Linked DNA regions of Schizosaccharomyces pombe. The gene in region 2 interacts genetically with the main gene of each other region. Each region holds a gene or a part of one and is shown on either strand. Other genes may lie near its edges.

Region 1 (5,700 bases), on a different chromosome or scaffold from region 2:
AGAATTTTATGAATTATTACATACTTTGCTTGTTCGTTTTCGCAACCATTGTTCTGATTATCTCTCTGGTATGTTTCATTTCCATTTTTTCACTGTTTCCCCAGCTTACCCTTTATAGATTTGTGCAGAACGGCTGTTCTCAAAGAATACAAACATGTCAACGAGGATACTGAAGATGTCGATGATACTGTTCGAGTAAAGCTACTTCACGACGATGTAACGTACCCTCAATTTATTAAATTCCTCAAGCAAAAAAATCCATCACTTGAAGGGTTAAATGAGCTTTGTCGAATGGAGAATAAGCGTTTATTACAATATGAAGATCGTGCGATTACGTCCGAAGTTAAACTTCCGGTATCGGTTTTATCCAAAGATTCCGACCTAGTGAACTCGGTTTCTTATCTTCATAACTCCATGGAATGGTTTCTTCAGCGCTGTTTTTCAAGATTTATGAACGGTTCGCGAAGAATGAACGTTTTGCAACAAAACCAAGCTAATTTCGGTGGTGACTTTTTACCAATTGATAATTTGTTGGGTAATAATTCGGATTTAATGAAGGGGTATGTTACTGTATGTATTGAACTTTATACTGATTTTTATAAAAGTGCATATAAAGAAGTCTTTGATTCTTTACAGAGGCTCCAATTCGATGCTTTACTGCTAATCCGAATGGAAGTTCGGTTACAGTACATTCATAGTATTAATCAAAGTGTAAACCTTCCTGACTATGTTGTCGAGTACCGCGGAAGACCAGATGCTTCGATAATGGCTCTCAACTCTACTATTGTGACGACGAATTTGAAACTCGAAACCTGTTTGAATGAATGGGAACGAAGGTAAATAACAAATGAATTCCTTATATTGATTTGCTAACTTTTTATAGGTTTGTATTCCAAGGTCTGAGTGAACTGGTTGATTCATCGCTATACTCTATCTTTTACAAAATAGAATCAATGAATAGAGGCAGCTGTCTTCAGATGCTGAAAAATATGTCAGCAATGATTCAGATTCTTAAGACGGTTAAGGAAATTCATGGCGACGTTGAATTTCCTAAATCTTCTAGAGTCTTTGGAATATACCAAAATGGTGCCAAGAAAATTATCGAGCACTTCATTGCTGCCCCCAAAAAGGAACTTTTGCCTGACGTTAAACAGATGGTCCGAATTTATTACCAGCGATTAATGAAAGATGCAAAAAGAAACGGAAGGGACGATCTTTATCGGCAGTATCAGAAAAAGATTGGCTCGGTTTTAACTCAGTTCGACAACACTGTGGGTGGTGCGAGAAAAAATCCTTAACCGTATAATATAGAATTTTAATTATAATGACGAGTAATGATTTTATAATAATAAATTTATTAACTAAAAACATAGATGCATTGGATAGTTTAAAAACTACGTGACCTAGTTTCAAAGATTATATTAAGGAAAATGATTTGTTATATATACAGCGTTTTCCTGAAAGACATAATTTACACAAATAAAACATATTCTTCAAAGATGTATCGGAATAACATCAGAAGCACCAAATCCACGACCGCAAATCGGGCATCTGCGTTGCCGTGTTTCAATCCGTTTTTGTATGCATTGGTAACAAAAGCCATGACCACAGAGAGAAATAATTCGATCTTTCCAGCGCTCGAAGTTACAAACTGAACACTTACACATGGCCCTAAAAGTTTTTAACTCTTCAGCTGACGTTGATACCCCAGTATCCTTTAACTTTCGCTTCTCTTTTTCATGCTCTTCATCTTGCTTGGAAAGTATATCTATAGAAGATGATAAATCTGAGCATTGAAATTCAAGGTCTGTTAATGTAGCATTATTTTTATCCATAAATTGCTGTAAATAAGACACCTTTTCTTCCAGGTTTTGAATAGTTGATTTTTGAGATGACTTTTTGACTTGAAACGTTGTTGATTGTTTTATAGAGTTATTTCGAACCGATGATAGACGGGCTAGCTGATCTTCAAACTCTATTATTCTATGGACAGCAGTGTCTTGGCTATTTAACATTTTTGAGATAATTTCGTTGGTCTTCTGGTACTTCTGGCGCAGTAACTTTACTTCAGCATGAAGACTATCTGTAGACTTCATGGTCAGAAAATATTTTTGCTCCGCCTTTTCCTTTTCGACACTAAATTTGGTTATCAATTCTTGATAATGGGAGTGGCTACTTTTCACAGTTTGCTGTTTTACCAACCTAAATGCTTTTTCAGTAGAAGCCAACTCTTTAGAAAGGTAAGTTGACAGATCTTTTTGTAACTCCAAATCGTTAAGGTCTACGAGCCGGATTTTGTTTGCAGCTTCACGGGTAGCCACCGCTTTTTTCTTTTCCAATACCATTGTCTCTAAATTCGCAAGTTCATCTAACTTGTCTTTGTAGACCTTCTCTTTTTGCTTTTTAGCTTCCAACTTCTTTTCAAGGGATAAGCTTAATTCAGTCTTTGCGTTATTAATTCTTTTTTCATCGTTTTGCATAACAGATATTTGATGATCAAGATCGTTTATTAACGGCTGATAGGAAGATTCAAAAACACCGTTAAAATTCTTTGACTGTTGCGACAATACATTTATTTCGTGAGAACATTCGGACAATAAGTGCTCTAATACGCGTAACTGCTCAGATGTCATAGAAACAGCTTCTTTAAGTGCTAAAAAGGAAGAGTATTTTTTCAAGTTTGTAGTTTCGACGTTGTTTAATGCGTTTTCTCGTTCCATAATTAATTTATCCATTTCATTAACGTTCGAATCCAAAATTTTAAGGCTTTGTGAGCGAGACTCCATTAAACCATTTTGTTGGTCTTGAAGCCTGGATAATTGTTGCAGTTGAGTACGTTGTTCAACCGTGCTAACTTTCTTTTCTTCATCTTTCCCCTTAGAGGAGGTGGTTGCTTCCTCTTTCACTTTAGTAGACTGGGGTCTCACTGATTCATTAATGCATTGCAAAGTAAAACTAGACGAGCGATCTGGTAGTTTTATAATTGAATGAAGCTGAGACCGAGTGGTATCCAATTCATCTAAAATCTTGTCAATATCCAAATTAATGGTGTTTAATTTCTCAGTAAGGGCAGAGTCATCAATTGATAAAACTGAAAAAGGATCTCTGGAGACCGAATTTGTGCTTGAGTCAACAGTAGACAAGAGTTTTTGAATGATGCTCAAGGCTTTAGTTTTATTATTTTTCACAGCGTCATTGAAGTATGAAAGCTCCGGGAATTTCTCCAAAATCGAAAAAACACCTTCACTCTCGAAGTCCTTCAGCTCATTGCCTTGAAACACAACGCTAAACTGCTGAAGTATTTCAGGCCACCAAGAGACCAAAGTAGCTAAAACTTTTAATTTCTCTTCTGCTAAATTTTGAAGTCCCTCTATTTTACTTTCTAACTCATCAAATTGAATGCTCCTCACTCTTACATCCTTTAATAAGTCTTCTTTAGAGACTTCCTTTAACAGAGTTAGCGACATGTCTTAACATTCGAATGCCTAAAGGCTCAACACGTTAACATACCTGAATATCATCATCTTGTATTTCTACATCTTCAAGTTCTCTTTTCTGGCCTAAGATTGTGGGGGCATCTGGTTTACCATTCTGATACATTCTCGAAAGTCGTATACATCAACCTATCAATATAAATTTCCTTTTTTTCAGAACAATTTGTTTTTTAACGAAAAAAGAAAACAGCCAAAACCTAAAAGACAGACTGTATTTTTCTTATACTAAACGTAATAACGCGTAATGAATAAGCAAGTTATAGATACGCGTCTTTACAGATCTATTTCAAATTCTCCTTCTTAGTTGAAACTTGCCGTATTGAAAATATGCAATTCGAAGCGAATTAAGTTAATTGCCATTCAATACAATAAAATGGGTAAAAGTGAAGTGGTAGAGGGCAGACACGAGTTTACGATCTATTTACTCAGTCACTAAACTACTTTAGTGAAAAATTGTCGTATTTGAAGAAATTCGAGTTAACTATCCATCTGGTATCCACTTTAACGAAATGTAAAATTGCGGTGAGTTTTCCTTGTGATCTATTATATTGCAACACACAGGTTGTATAAGTAGCAACTGAGTATAGGTATTGTATTAACTGGGTTATAATGTTACCTATCACTAGTATAGCTCATAACTGAACTGAGGAACGAGGTTCAGTTGTAACGCTATTTATAAATGGCTGTTATCAACGGGTATTTATGTACATAGACGAATAGTTACCTGTGATTATCAACAAGCGGATCTTAACTAGTATTTCAACATATGACATATAGTGATACACTACGTTGCGTATCACTATATGTCACATGTTCTAATTATATATCGTACCATGTATGATACGATATGGAGATTAATCTTAATGATAATCTATTCAGATCTATATTATCTGAATACTATAAATAGAGCTACCACTGAACTGAGGAACGAGGTTCAGTTATGAGCTATACTAGTGATAGGTAACATTATAACCCAGTTAATACAATACCTATACTCAGTTGCTACTTATACAACCTGTGTATTGTAATATAATAGATCACAAGGAAAACTCACCGCAGTTCTACGTATCCTTAAATCAGATACCAAACTGCGTAGCTTACACGTAATTACGATAACAAACCATCGTTCTAAACCACAATATTCTATTATGCTGCTCATTATTTTGTAAACATTAAATTTTGTTTGAATTGAACCATTAAACAGAAGGGAAAAATGATTATTAAGCTTGATTAAATTAAGAATCAAGATGAAGGAGAAATGAATGTAACAACGACAATGAAATTGTGAATTTAACAAGGTGGAACAACGAGTTTTCCGATTTCATTAGTTGATTTAAAGTTGTCGTAAACAAGTTAAACCATTATTGTTTGTAGCGTAGAGTACCATTAAAAAAGACAAATAATTAGACTCGCATACATTATAAATAAAGACTTCGGTCCTCAATGCACATTATCCAACATCGTAGAATGCATTGGTTGAAAATCTTTGGTAATTGAAAGAATAAGTTAAGCATATATTCCATAAACTTATAGTGAAAGAGGATGATTAAAGAAAGTTGGTGCTAATTTTTTAAAAAACGCCGCAGCTTCTCTGCATTGGTGATTTTGGTAAAGAGGTTTTCCAACTGTAGCGACAACTACATTAATAAAGCAATTAGACTTCGCTTTCGGCCTCCGTTTCTTCCAAGGGAATGTCATTATTATCGTTGGCACCTCCAATCGCATTTGCTATACCTCCTAGTCGGGTAAGTAAAAAATCATTCATACAGTTGGTTGAATACACATACCTAGGAAAGAAGCTATACCATTCCTGATAAATTTGGGCATCCTTTTGAGAGCACCTGGACATTCTGATACGGTTAGAGTAAATTACAGGAATATTAAACAAACCCATTTCGTAAAAGAAAAGAAAATTTCCTATAACAAAGAGTGAAGAGGCTTCAATTTCGTAGCCTGTCCCGTCGATATGTTTATCAAATAAATGCATCAAACCTTTCTGTACAATAACGACACAACTTTGTACACCCAGTACTTGAAACAAACCAGAAAACATATGCTTGAGTGTCCAAAATGGAAGACGAACTGCGTGTTAGCGGTCAGTAATGGTAACTCCATAACTTCACATACCATATAGTAAAAATAAAAGTAAAGCAGCTGAAATACTGCATGTAGAACAGATGAGAGCCTTGTCTAAGTTCAAATTACC
Region 2 (5,115 bases):
CTGCATATGGTCAGGATCAATTGTCCAATAATGACCTTTTAAAGTTTTACCCTTGGGTTTTTCTACTTTGATAAAGGCTTTGTTTAATGAAAGGTTGTGCCTAATGCTATTTTGCCAACCACCATCATGGTTGAGGTAGTAGCGAAACGTGTTGCGAATCCACGTATAAATCCCGCTTAAAGTCAGTTGCTTGTTATGTGATTGTAGGATCGCCAAACCGATTAATGTAGCATAAGAACACGGTGGTTTTTCACCAGTATCCACAAAGCCCGCCATTTCATCTCCAAATATCATTTGTCGTATACTGTCACTACTCAGGTTTTCTTTATTCTCTTCACGAAGCAATGCTTCAGTTTCGCATTTTTCTTTAGAAGACACATTGGAAACATTTTGAGAATCATTAATTTTTGAAGATTCCTTTAATGAAAGGCTAAGTATGACCTTTTTGGGTTTACCATGTGCTTCGACATTCCCTTGATTTTCAACCATTTGAACAATTTAATAATTTTTAGAGTACTGATTATTATATTTATTAGGTAATTATTAATGGTATTTGTGTTATTTTGACTCTGTTTTTGGATGACGGGTTTTGTAGTAGGTAGGTGGGAGAGGGCTGGTCAAGCCGTATACAAACAAGAGGTATTTAACCGAGGTCAAAACATGGGTATGGGAAGGGAAGAAAATACCGTAAATATGTAAACACAAGCAAGGAAAAAAGCAGTTTTGTTGAAAATAAAGTAATTTTCTTTCCAATACATTACTTACAAGTCATGTTTTAAGATTATAAATTTAGTAAATAAATAATACAAATAAAAATCTCCGTGCTCAATTTGCTAAGGTCAAGCTTTTAAAGAAAAAAGAAATATAATTAATTTTCTTTGCTTTTTCCTTTTTGTTTTAAATTTTATTTTGAGCTAGAAAACCAACTTTGGCCTTTAATGAACAGTCGCCATCACGCGGAAAGGCCATTAAAAATATTATGGGATGCTCAGCAAATTAAGTTAATTTAAGATATGAAGAGAAAGCCAAAAAGTAAAAAGAGCACATTCGTATGGATCATTTAGGAGTGTCATCAACGTTGGAATTTTCATGAAAAGAGGGTGACTTCAGATCAGATGTGGATTGTTGGTGCAAGCTAGTAGAAGATGGATGTTGCTCGTTGGTCTTTTGGTTGGCAGATTGTCTAGCAATTGAGTATTCAGGAACATATGAGTCAATGTACTTAATATTGTGTTGTGTTTTGTTGGTATCCGCATTTTCGCTTGCTCGAGATGTCGTTTGTACTTTGCTATTATTCTGGTATCTGGAGGACACATTCCATGCTGGTTGTTGAGACTGGGAAGATTGTCTTCCTTGACGGCCGTAATCCGAGGGGTTTCTTAATCGTTGAGATCGGTCTTGTTCAGGCCGGTAGTAGCGTTGACCGTCTGCATGAGAATGATTAGAAGTTTGATTCATAGCGTTAGTTTCAGAAAATTCGGAATTTTTCTGTGGCAAATCAGACGTTAAAGGTTTAAAATTTTGCTGACGCTTAGGCTGATAATTAACATTACGACTTCTATCCATGTTACCGCCTTCACGATTGTACGAACCACGTTGGTATTGCGGTTGTGAGTTATAATTTGGCCGACGAATTCCATACCACGGATCGCTAGGTCCACGAGTCATGAACCGGAACTGTCTCTTACCATTAGCGGTTTGTTCAAACGCATGTGAATTAGCATCTCTCTGTTCTCTTTTCCTTCTTTTGTCGTACTCATGAGAAGCACTGTAGCTCTGTAGTTCAGAAGGGTTTGCTGGATATGGTGGTGTTGTAAAATATTCATGCTCTAAAGCCATTGAAGCAGATAAACGTTCATCCGGATTAAGGGTCAAAATAGCACCGCAAAGAGAAGTCATTTCCTTTCCGAAAGTAAAAAATGCAGTTTCAAGTGTTCTAGGGTGTGAAGGAAAAGAGCGAACGCCTTCGCACCCAGGAAGCTTTTCCCAATTTGGCATAGTAGCTTGAGTTGGTGATCCACAAAGGCGAAAGATTTTATCCAATTGGTCCAAATCACTACTTCCTTGAAGGATTGGCCTTCCTTTATACATTTCGGCCATGATGCATCCCACGCTCCACATATCAATAGCGGTAGTGTAACGACGCTCGCCAAGCAAAAGTTCTGGTGATCTATACCAGCGTGTAACCACACATCCAGTGTATTCTCTACGATTAGGTGGAGGCAAGCCAGGATTTTTGTTTGCATATGACTCCTCCGTTATCACACGTGCGAGACCAAAATCGGCAATTTTTAAAATCCCGTGATTATCAATCAATAAATTAGCAGCTTTAAGATCTCTATGAAGGATAAGCTGATCATGTAAGTATTTGGTTCCAGCAAACAATTGCTTCATATAGCATTTAATTTGCGGCTCCGTGAATTTTACACTTGGATTTTCTAATAAACCTGAAAGGTCATGATCCATATAAGGAGTCACCATATATATAGAACCACGACGTCGATGCTTCTTGTCTGCACGAACAACAGTCATATCAGATAATGGAATAATATTCTCGTGTTTAATCGATTTTAAAATTTTTATTTCGCGAATGGCTGTAATGGGAAACTAAAATGTAATGCTTTAGTATTTATTCATGAATTAATTAAAACAATTAACGCAATCAAGTCGATGCGTCCCAAGTCATTCTGTCAAAATGAACAAGAATCTAAACAAACATCTACTTACACCTTCCTTTTCAGTATGCATGAGTATTCTTTTCAGCGCATATACCTTCCCGTCCTTACGCCGCTGCGATTTGTAAACTTCGCTGGTGAACCAAGTTAGTGATAAAATTCAAAATCAGATATTTGACACATACCCAAATGTTCCTTCTCCTAATTTTTCCATTAAATGATAATCCGTTAAATGGCTGCACCCTACAAAATGAAGTTTGGGTACGACATCTAATTTTCTCCTTGCTGATTTCTCATCTTCGACAGAAACGCTGCTTGAGCGTTTCATTTTTTTAACTTATATTATACAAAAGATCCCAACGATTAGTGAATAAAGTTAATTATACAAATTGTAGTATAAACCCGATCGATGCGCGAAATGTTGCATCTGATGAGGATATAGTGGAAGTGGACCCAACTATCAACTATATGCATTAAATACGGAGGCGAAGTAAAATGCGCTATGTTTCAAAATGAGAAAACAATACTGTAAGTATAGAGAATAAACAATGCTTTTTATAAAGGGAAAAAGTTGCATTAGTTTTAAATATCTTTCAAAGGACTCCCTAATCTCAAATAAATGCGCAAAGTTTACAATTTATGAATCAGGAAAGAGTAGTTATTAAAACTCAGGAATAGTACGTACTAAATTTAGAAAAAGATAGTTGAATAGACTGAAAAAGACATTCAAACTATAAGAGGTATGCAAAGGCCTTAAGCTGACGGGGTGCTCAGGGTGCTCATGTTTTACATGCGGGAACAATGAACGTGCATTAAAATATTATAGACATTAAGCGAATTAATTAGGTCGTTAGTAAAATAAAAAGAATATTTAAAAATGGTTACAATAATTAAGACTTTTAAGATAGAAAGTAAATCCCTTAAGATGGTATGGAAATCGTTTGCGTTGTTTCTAACTCATTATCTAAAACTTCTTGAGAAATTATAGTTTGAGTAACTTCGGTAAATGATTCATCTTCATCTTCCACAATGTAAGCAACGGTATATGCATCTTCACCACAAATTACTATAACTGGACGAGAACTGAATTCTGATGGTTGAAGCCATTGAACCTTCTGAATATTAAAACCTTTTTTTGGAACTCCAACGACCCTGGGTGTATTCCAACTTAAAGCCCAGAAGTATAGGAATGTAGCATTAGACGGAATTTTGGATTCTTTCCTAATTTTTGTTTGAATGACCACCAAATCGGGACGACCTGGATGCCATTCAAAATACACTATATGATGTTTTTGAATAAGAACAGTGTGCAGTTTTTTATTCTGTAAATTCCATAGCCAAAGAACATTAGGATATTTAGAAGTAATTGTAGCAGCATACGTCTCATCACAGTTGAAACGTATTTTTGATGCTGAACAAAAGGAGGGTTCTGGGAAATCGGTTCTGAGTTTATGTACTTTTTGATAAGTCATTTGTTGCTCATAGATTGTTTCCTTCTCTTCCCATATATGCATTTCCAAGTCAGTATTGGTATATTGCAAACAATGGTGAAGTCGAAAAACTATACTAAAAGTTTTTGTTTCAAGTAGATGTAAGGTTGAATCATGGTAACTGCACAAAGTTAGATATTTGCCAAAGGGACTCCACTCAAAATCGGAAAAGCCGACTTCAATTAACCTATTTGGTCGATATTCGTGAAAAAGAAGACCGGTGCGATGATAAATATAAACAACTGCATCTAATACGTTTTCCAAAACAGCTAACCAGTTTCCATCTGGCGACCAATGGATACCCGTCGAATCTATTGTAGGAAGCTTACACTCTTTAAGAAGTATCCATGCCTTTTTGCTGATTTGGTAAAATTGAAGGCAATCCGAACCGTTAAAACGAGATAATATAGTACAGAATTGCATGGATGGATGTAAAGCGTAAACTAAACAGTCAGTAAATTGATATATCAGACAAGAAATACCTTTCGAAACATTGGTTTTTACATGTGGAAGCAAATAACCTTTCTGGGTATTTAAAGACCACACAGTAATCTTCGACTAAAAAATTTGCTATTAGCATCGCAGATATATAAGCAAAAAGTTGTGCAAATTTTATTAGATACAACGTACATCAAAGGACGACCAGAGAAGCAGTTCTCCAGACGGGCTCCAGCTGATACTACTCAAAGGATCCTGGTCGCACTGTATGCTAGCATAATAATCGTGTTGTACAATATCTAATACAAACACTTTATCAACTGAGGCAACACAAATTTGATGGCATTTTTCTGCTCCTAAATTGGGTTTCCATAACAAGTATACAACCTTTTGAATGAATTGAGCGTTTAGAAGGAACACATGGTGAAGCTCGAGGGTTTCAGAATTTCGAATTAAGACATGCCCAGAGCGAGATAAAGACGCAATCCAATTACCACAATGTGAAACACTTG

Evidence for each region.
Region 1: of cdk9 (region 2) and brl2, changing one enhances a phenotype caused by changing the other (phenotypic enhancement), as found in Schizosaccharomyces pombe (2 studies listed by BioGRID).

The regions. Positions count from the first base shown.
Region 1 is NC_003421.2:487,968-493,667, reverse strand, and holds brl2 (histone H2B-K119 ubiquitin ligase complex (HULC) subunit, ubiquitin-protein ligase E3 Brl2), read right to left. Parts: upstream 3,888-5,700; 5' UTR 3,601-3,887; coding exon 3,511-3,600; exon of another isoform or gene 3,447-3,510; coding exon 1,494-3,446; 3' UTR 1,299-1,493; coding exon of another isoform or gene 884-1,298; 3' UTR 837-883; coding exon of another isoform or gene 606-836; 3' UTR 561-605; downstream 1-560. Other genes in the region: sec8 (exocyst complex subunit Exo4), read left to right, coding at 1-68, 119-560, 606-836, 884-1,298; wtf antidote-like meiotic drive suppressor Wtf9, read right to left, coding at 5,149-5,231, 5,282-5,344, 5,385-5,576, 5,622-5,700. UniProt on the Schizosaccharomyces pombe protein: E3 ubiquitin-protein ligase which belongs to the histone H2B ubiquitin ligase complex (HULC) which mediates monoubiquitination of histone H2B to form H2BK123ub1.
Region 2 is NC_003423.3:1,468,568-1,473,682, reverse strand, and holds cdk9 (P-TEFb-associated cyclin-dependent protein kinase Cdk9), read right to left. Parts: upstream 3,116-5,115; 5' UTR 3,004-3,115; coding exon 2,861-3,003; exon of another isoform or gene 2,810-2,860; coding exon 2,728-2,809; exon of another isoform or gene 2,608-2,727; coding exon 1,057-2,607; 3' UTR 501-1,056; downstream 1-500. Other genes in the region: DNA-binding forkhead transcription factor, meiotic Mei4, read right to left, coding at 1-489; wdr8 (WD repeat-containing protein), read right to left, coding at 3,596-4,608, 4,648-4,723, 4,796-5,115. UniProt on the Schizosaccharomyces pombe protein: Component of the positive transcription elongation factor b (P-TEFb) which consists of cdk9 and pch1, and which phosphorylates the C-terminal domain (CTD) of RNA polymerase II and spt5.